Linked DNA regions of Arabidopsis thaliana. The protein of the gene in region 1 interacts with the protein of each later gene in a pairwise test. Each region holds a gene or a part of one and is shown on either strand. Other genes may lie near its edges.

Region 1 (3,818 bases):
AAGGAGTCGCATGCAACTTCCTTCTCTTTTCAAGACCCGATTTAACTCTAGCATAAACCCAATTGATCATTATCCTCAGGCGAACGAGTTACGGCAACGACGGTGGCTAGGGTTTCCTCGGACTCTCTCTAAGATTTTGACTAAGGAGAAAATTAAGGAGACTACCTATCTATTTATAAGGATATTAATCGGCTAGGGTTTTCTTTTTGTCTAACGAAATTTTAGGTTTACTCTCTCGTTACGGGCTTATATGGATAATTAAGGGCTTTTCTCCAATGAGTTTTAATGGATTTACATGAGTTTCATATAGAATTGAGACTTTTCTTTTACTTAGCGATTTGGATCCTACAACAATGGCCACTAAATATGTGCCTACCAAGCGACACAAAACATCAAACATAAACCATGTGGCACTTAAGATTTGAGCTTCTAGCGATTCTTGAAGTAAAGCCATATCAGATGGCTGATGTTAGCTTGCACAGTTGCACTTAAGCATAAAACAGACTCAATGCAATGCAATAACTTTGGCATTTCAAGTTTATTCTTGTTCCATAAAGCACAAAATTCTGCATATACTCCGTAAGTTCCGGAAACAATTTGGAAGTCGCACCAACGCTTTGCAGCCTTTCATATTCAAGAGAAGAGTTTTTTGGAATACAAGTAGGATATCAGGACCCTTTAGTGCACTGCCTTCCAACAAGAGCTTTCTTATCTATTTGAAATCACCTAAAATTGTTCATGGTGAGAATTGTCAGAGAATTCAACTTCATCTATGGAAGGACGGAGGGCGAGGAGAGTCCGCGAAGCCTTCAAGATTTTGAGCGCCTACTAATCCTGAAACTGCGAACCGCTCACATGAATGACTAAGATTGAGTTAATCATCAAGATAAAACAAGCCTTTCTTGCTCCTAATTTGACCTACACAAACTTATAAACCAAGCAATCGAGTTTATCATCAATGGAAAGAATTTACACTTTTTATTGCATATTATGTGGATGTTAAGTATCCTACAACTGTTAGTTGATTGCAAAGACAAATGAAACCATGAACCATTGTGGTTATATCTGAATATAAGGTTAAGAATCTAAACTAGTGACAAAGTTATAAACCTTACCATTCTTGTGTAAGAAATCTATTAAAATAAGAAATGTTGGTTGTGTAACACATAATGCCTCTTCTGTATCCAAATCAAAGCCTTCTTACATCATTATTCTTCCTCTTTATCAGCAACTTTAACCTTCTTCTTTACCCCATCTTCAAAACCACCCACCGACTCGTTTCTCCTCTTATATATACTCAAAGGATCACAAAGCAAGCTCTTCTCTTTCTCTACATCACTCTCAATTTCTCTAGAACCACAATTCCTAGCATTGTCTCCCTTACCATCCACACCGTTTTCTTTCGACATAGACAACAAAACACCAGCAAGATTACTATCATCTTCATCCCCAACAACATCACACACATTCTCCTTCTCATCCCAACAAGGAAACTCCCTACACTGAAACCTAAACTTCTTAGGCACATAACCACTACACTTCCATAACTGCCGACTAAAAACCGAAGAAACACATTCAAACAAACCCAAATCACCACCAGGAACTCCTTGTACATGAACCCTTTCTTCAATTGGTATCTCTGAACAAGCCTTCAATACAACACTCTCACTACTCTGCGTACATAAATTCTCCATTCTCAACGATTTAGTAACCGATAACTTGGACAATTCATCTTCATTGTTTTTTATCTTACACTTGTGGCAAACAAACAAATCATCACCTTTAACATAACGAGAACACCATGTATGAACCCAAACACCACATTCATCACAATCAACCATCTCTTTACCATCATCAAAATTCACACCACAAACACAATCTACTGTCCATGATTCATAAACCCAATCTTCGTGTGGCTTCATCTCAAATTTACCCCCAAAAAAAAAACTCTAAATTTCTCTGATTCTTTCACAAATTAACCCAGAAATCTCCCTGAATATCGAAGCTTTGTCAAACCCAATTCGTTTCTTCTGAACGACGATTGTAATGTTACGCGAAATAGCTTTGCGATTCTTGATAGAAAAAAAGCTATCTTGACGTAAATCTATGGTTCTCGCTTCCCATTTCTGAACGAAGAAGACGAAGATAGGAACCATAATTACTAAAATATGGGCCGGTATGGGCCGGGATGGGCCGGGATGGGCCGGGATGGGCCGGGATGGGCCGGGCTTAGAGGATAGGTACTGTTTTTTTTTTGTGGACGGACCAAACGATTTCATTTAAAAACCAAAAGCAGATAAAAAACAGAATGGTCAAGCTCAAAGAGGAATACAAGCGGAAATTAACGGTCAAATAACTAAATCATAATGAAGTTAGCAAAAATATTTGCACGTATAATTTAGCCTAAAGACACGTGTAGAAGATGTGTTCTTCTGAAAACCACTCGTCACGTCGTAGTACCAAAATCTTCTGGGTCGATCATATGAAACCGCTTCAAAAAGATTTCGAAAACCGCTAACTTCGGGGAAGCTATATCACTGACTACACCCAATTTGATGTAGTCTAGGATCAATCTTTCTATGTACCTTGAATAAAAACAGAATGACGAAGATATTACTTCTTGAGCAATTAGGGAAACAAAAAGAATTTGGAAGACATACAGAAAAATCGAAGGAAAGATATTGGAATAGAGATATTGGAAGTTGAAGTTTTGATTTTTAGGTTTTTTTCTTTGATCGTTTTTATGCTAATTTTGTGTTTGTTAAAGCTGAAACTTCAATGAGATGGCTTTGATTTATGATTTTTATTTGGGAATTTTAGTTTGTAGATTTATGTTTTGTATGATCATTGAATCTTTGAATAACCCATGCACTAGTAAGATGTTATATTATAATATATGGATACTAGACTTGAATTGTTCTAATTAGTAGGAAGAGAACTATTGTTGATAAAATAACATGTACAACTAGTGTACCTGTTAGACTATCTACATTAGTTACATGGTTACAATGTCCACTTTTCTCTTTTCAACACTCCACATTATAATTCAATACCTACATAATTTTTACTTACTACAATAGTTTTGTTTAATAAAATTACAACACATTACCCTACCATTATTTTATATTTTTTATTTTAATTATGTTTATGTTTTTTGTGATTAATTAATTACAATTAATATCAAATAAAATTAAAATAAGTAAAAATTAAATATTTTAAAATATGAAGGATAGTTTGGAACAGTTGACGATATAAAGAAATTTGGTGGATAACCATAATTTGTTATATTATGTTGATGGTTAGGAGATTGATGTTGGGTAGTTAAAAAGGTAATTAGAAAAATTTTGGGAGTTAAAATGATATTATTATGATCTATTTCACTAAAAAGACGGATAAAAAATAAACAAGAGTTTATGAAGGATGATAGCAAAAGTTTAATTTAAAAAGATGGGGTTTTTGTGTCCAAATTAATTAAAACAAGTCTTTATTTTTGCTATAAGCCTTCATAAATTGGGGATTGTTAGGAGATTGATTTTGAAACTGATAATTGTTCAGATTTTGGTAGTTAAAAAAGTAGTTAGAAGAAGTTTGACATTCCTTAAATGTAGTGATATTGAAATTTTTTGACATTCCTTTAATGGATCAATGCATTCTGTTCCTATCCTTTCTTATATGGATTGAGACTAAAAATTCTTTGAACTACCACCGCTCAACTTTATCATGATAATTATAAGTCAACTCAAGTATTTATAGATTATCAAAGTCTTAATCCGAACTCGATAGGACCAAACTGAAACCAAACCAGTTATTTTATTTTT
Region 2 (4,813 bases), 700 kb from region 1:
GAGTCCAAGATTAGGTGTAGCAGAGTACATTGGTGAAGGCATGGGAGTCGTTCCAGAGCTTATCATCCCTTCTATGTTTTGAACTCCCTTGTTCTTTGTTTTCAAGTTGATGGTTCATGGAAAACCAAAACAAAAATGTGCAGCCAGTTTGGTTTTAATTTGATGGCTTCAACCAGATTCATCTAATTGGTTTGAAAGGATTTCAAATATATTTCATGTCTTTACACTAAGAACTCCTGACACTACACTACTTTTGGTAGCGCGGTATGCGGAATGATTTATTTCGAAACTGATTGCAGCGGATTTAGTAAGATGATTAACCCTTTTTCGCTATAAGATTTAATCTACACTGCAATAAACAAAGACCCGATTATCTTGCCGGTTCGACAAAACATCGAGCAATTCTGTCCTCGTTTGCAAACTCGTTGCGGATTGGTTGCACCACTAAGCAATCTTATTCCATGATGGTTAGTAATCTAGTATGTTAGCTGTAACTGTATGAATGAGTTTTAAAAACACTGTAATACACATCTTGAAAATACTTTACTATAATCAAACAACATGAAATCAAAGTCATTTCACTAATATCATAAAGAATATATGTTTTCATTAATTCTTTTTAACTTTCTTCATTATTGTACAAAAATTTTATATTACACCTACATCCATTTATCAAATAATATACTTTTCAACATGACATCCATCTAAATTCAAGCTAAGATCATCTTTCGAATTTTTCGATCAGATCATTGCCGTTAAGCAAATATAAAACAAATCAGGAGCAAACCTTATTGTTCTTCCTTAGGTATGCATGTGCACCTCTTCTGTTCTTCTGTTAACTCCTATATTATCCACACCAAAATAAACCAACTCATAACTCTTTTTACTATATACTGTTGACTAATCATTTTTAATTCATCTATTGGGTTCCTCTAAAAGGTTTTGTGTGTATATATATTAACTTAGATAATTTACCTGGATCTGCCTTTGAAGAACTTTCACGTATTCTACTGCTTCTTCTAACATGTCTGCAGTGTTGGTTTGCTGCAACAAAGACAAAAAAGTTAACCGATATACTCAAAGCCTAGATTCCAAATCTCCATATATACCAAAACCAAAAGTTTTCCTCAGTTTGTTCATAATCTATAGAGAGGAAACCAAGTTCATACTTATTTGATCGAGGTGACAACAATTCAAGTCCATATCAAGATCCATTCCACAGTTTGTGAATTACTTAGTTACAGAGCTGAGAACCGTGTCTCTGAAGTTGCATCACAACCATTAACAGTCATATTTAATTTGACCTCTAACTTCTACACTTGATTTAAGCATAGATAATCTTTGACCTATTTCTAGTCAATATAATTGTGTAACCGAGGTCATCAGATTATACCTAAGCTGAAAATTATATTACCTTGTCCATGTTAGGTACAAGCTCTTGTAGCTTCCTTATCCGATCACTAATCCGCGTCCTTCGTACCTACACAATGAAAGGTAAAGATAAATATACACTGACCAGAACAGAACAATCCTCTGTTCAATGAAGCATACAGTGCATCATTAAACATCCGTAAATTGAAAGTAAAGATATAAGTTGTATCACTAAACTTCAATGTATAAAGTTAAGAGAACCTTGATCACTACACTTCCAAAACATTGAAAATAAAGATTGAATGTTGTTTACCCTCTCGGCAATGCTGCGGGGATGAGTTGCGCAACCACGTTTAGCCCGAACCCTAAAAGCAACAGAGTCCTCCATAAGGTTCTCCATGTTCATATCCGACATGCTTGATACTCCGGTAGGAACTTGACCGCTGCTTTGCTCTCCTTTCTACTTACAGAAAAAAATTCCAAAAAGCGCAAATCAGCACTAATACCTTAATCAACACATAGGTAACACATATGTTCCCAAAATTTTGATCAAGTGTAGTTACTTAATACTAAGTAGACCAATGTACCAAAAGGTGTGGAGAATCAATACATTTGTACACATTAACCACCGAAGTATGTATCATCATGTGGACTTATGGTCTTCTAAACACTTTACCCATAGGAGCATTCTTTAATGTTCACATTGACACATTAAAGCCACAGAGCCAACAACAAAAACTGCCATTTTTTTTTTTTTGAGTTAAAATAGAAACTGCAACTTGCTTAGTTTGGTTCAGAAAAACACAAGTTGTCAATTTTAAGACAAGACTGGTCTTTTCAATCTCGAGAACTTGGTCAGCAAATTAACTAAAACAAGTAATAAGTCAGTTAAGTTCATCCTATTTTTGGCAAGTATAAGAAAACCCTAATTTAAGAACTAATTTTGGTTTACCATTTGAGAAGTAAACTCAGGAGAAGAGAAGAGTGCTTCCATTTCTCTAGACCGCTTACTTCCCGGAGAAACATCGATATTCCCCGATAAGTAATCGTAATTCGCCTGAATCCCAAAGCTTTGGATAAATCCATCAGAACCACTAAGAAAATCCGCCGGAGTACTATTCTGTCGGTGAAACCCACCTTGTTGATACAACCCTTGCTCAACAGGAATCGGGAACTCGAACGAGCCGCGACTTGTCGGTAAATCGTTCGAGTTCCCGGTAAGCAAATCGGTGAGACCAAGATTAGGTTTCAAAGACTCTTCTTCATCTTCCTCAAGTAAAGCTTCAAGCCAAGTCGCTGGAGCTGAACGGATCCGAGATAGTCCACTTCTACTTAGCCCTCCTCCTCCTCCTCTGCCTCCTCCGTCGTCACCACCGCCGCTACTACCGACGGATGTTGGTTGCATCCCCTTTGGCTTTTCTCTGGTTTCAATAGACACTACGAAAGCTTTTTTTCTCTTTCTTTACATTTTTTTTTTTGTTTCTTGCTCTGTTTTATTTTTTTCTTTAATTAATACATCAGCAGACCAGATTGTTGTTGTTCTTGGGTTATTTTTTTATTTATTTGTTTCAATAAAAAAATTGCGGCTAGTAATAATAAAGAACCCTAACCGTCTGATTAAGATACTTTTCTAACACTTGACTAAAAGATAAAGATAGTACAGAACCTAAAAAGGTTAGAGATGCGTCAGCGCGTAACAGAGAAACATTGCTTTAACGTCTCTTTTGTTATCTTTTTTTTTATGTAATAGATTATGGTTTACACCACTCTCGATGGAGGCGCGTAGTTTCCACCTTCTCGGTCCAATTCCGATATGTGAAAAATTAGCGACTTCGTATGTCTGCAAAATGCAACTTTTATTTAGTTGAGCTGCTTTGTAGAATTACAACATTTTAAAAGCTTTTGAAGAATTACAATATTTTAAAAAAGCTTTTGAAATTTTTTGTCTTTATTTTATATTAGAGTTATTCTCTGTTGTAACAATGTCTGTGTTGATTGCCTAACAAAAAATATAAGAACACGAAGTTTTTTTTCTTTTTCATGTAAGTACATCGACTCCGGATTAGTTCTCCTAACTTAATAAAATGGTCGCTGGTGAAAAAAAGTAAAGAATAAAAAACCATCCTATTAAAAAAAATATTACAATCTTAAAAAAAAATTACTTCATTTTTTAAATTTTTTTTGTTACTTTCGTTTTTAATTTATGGTTAAAATTTTATTTATTAATTTTAATTCTCATATATTATTTTTAAGATTTAAATGTTTATAAAATAAATAAAATAATTTGAAAGCACTTTTACAACTCGTGTGGTGTTCGGGTTGCCCGGCCATAAAAAATTCCCACAGAGTTTTTCAATCTCATCAAAACCGGTGATCGAAAAATTGAACACCAAAAACTGAAAATCTATACTATATAAAAGTTGAGGCTATTTGCTTCTAAAGCCGTCCACATAGGATTTAGAACGACCAATCGAAAGCTGCCACATCAATAATTAACATATTTAGCATTTAATTATTTAACATTTTTTAAAACAACTAATCGGAAGCTGTCACATCAATAATTAACATATTTAACATCTAATTAATTAACATTTTTAAAAATAATAATTACTTTCCATTTTAAAATTTAAAATAAAAAACGAAAATAACAAATATTAAATTTAAACTTATAAAAAAGGAAGCAATATAATTATAATTAAATAATATTAAACCTAAACCCTTACAGAATTTTGGGAGATTTGCAAAACTACTCTTTTTTTACTACCCTTTTGCAACAATATCTTTTTATGTTGTCCTTTTTTAAAAATACCATTTCCCTTGAACAGAATGACCAAATTATCCTCATCTAATAGGAACATGTAATTAGAAACTGAAATTTTCCCACCAAATTTTTGCACCAAAAATTTATTTTTCTCGCCAAAAAAATTTTCTGGCAAACTTTTTTCCCACCAAAAAGAAAAATCCCGCCAAAAAAATGATTATGCAAATCCTTGTAAAATTGTTTTGGGAAAAAATATATTTTCAAGAGATTTTAAAAGGGTTTTAAAATATTTACAAGGGATTTTAAAAGGGTTTTAAAAAATTTACAAGAGATTTTAAAAGTATTTTAAGAGATTTATAAGAGATTTTAAAAGATTTTAAAATATTTACAAGAGTTTTTAAAGGGTCTTCTTGTAAATTCTTTAAATATCTTTTAAAAACACTTGTACATCTTTAAAAATCTCTTGTAAATCTTTTGAAATCCTTTTAAAATACCTTGTAAATCTTTTAAAACACTTTTAAACCATTTAAAAATCTTTAAAAAACCTTTGTAAATCTTTTAAAGCCCTTTAAAATCCCTTGTAAATATTTTAAAACCCTTTTAAAATACCTTGTAAATCTTTTAAAACTCTTTTAAAATCCCTTGTAAATATTTTAAAACCTTTTTAAAACAATTTTTAAC

What was found. Proteins that work in one complex are often made in the same cells at the same time.
Region 2: the proteins of AT4G10600 (region 1) and FBH2 interact in a two-hybrid assay, tested with the Arabidopsis thaliana proteins (one large-scale study listed by BioGRID).

What each region holds. Positions count from the first base shown.
Region 1 is NC_003075.7:6,546,726-6,550,543, forward strand, and holds AT4G10600 (RING/FYVE/PHD zinc finger superfamily protein), read right to left. Parts: upstream 2,154-3,818; 5' UTR 1,923-2,153; coding exon 1,209-1,922; 3' UTR 1,116-1,208; exon of another isoform or gene 944-1,115; intron 841-943; 3' UTR 510-840; downstream 1-509.
Region 2 is NC_003075.7:5,845,476-5,850,288, reverse strand, and holds FBH2 (basic helix-loop-helix (bHLH) DNA-binding superfamily protein), read right to left. Parts: upstream 2,978-4,813; 5' UTR 2,777-2,977; coding exon 2,324-2,776; intron 1,832-2,323; coding exon 1,685-1,831; intron 1,481-1,684; coding exon 1,415-1,480; intron 1,045-1,414; coding exon 976-1,044; intron 843-975; coding exon 789-842; 3' UTR 526-788; downstream 1-525.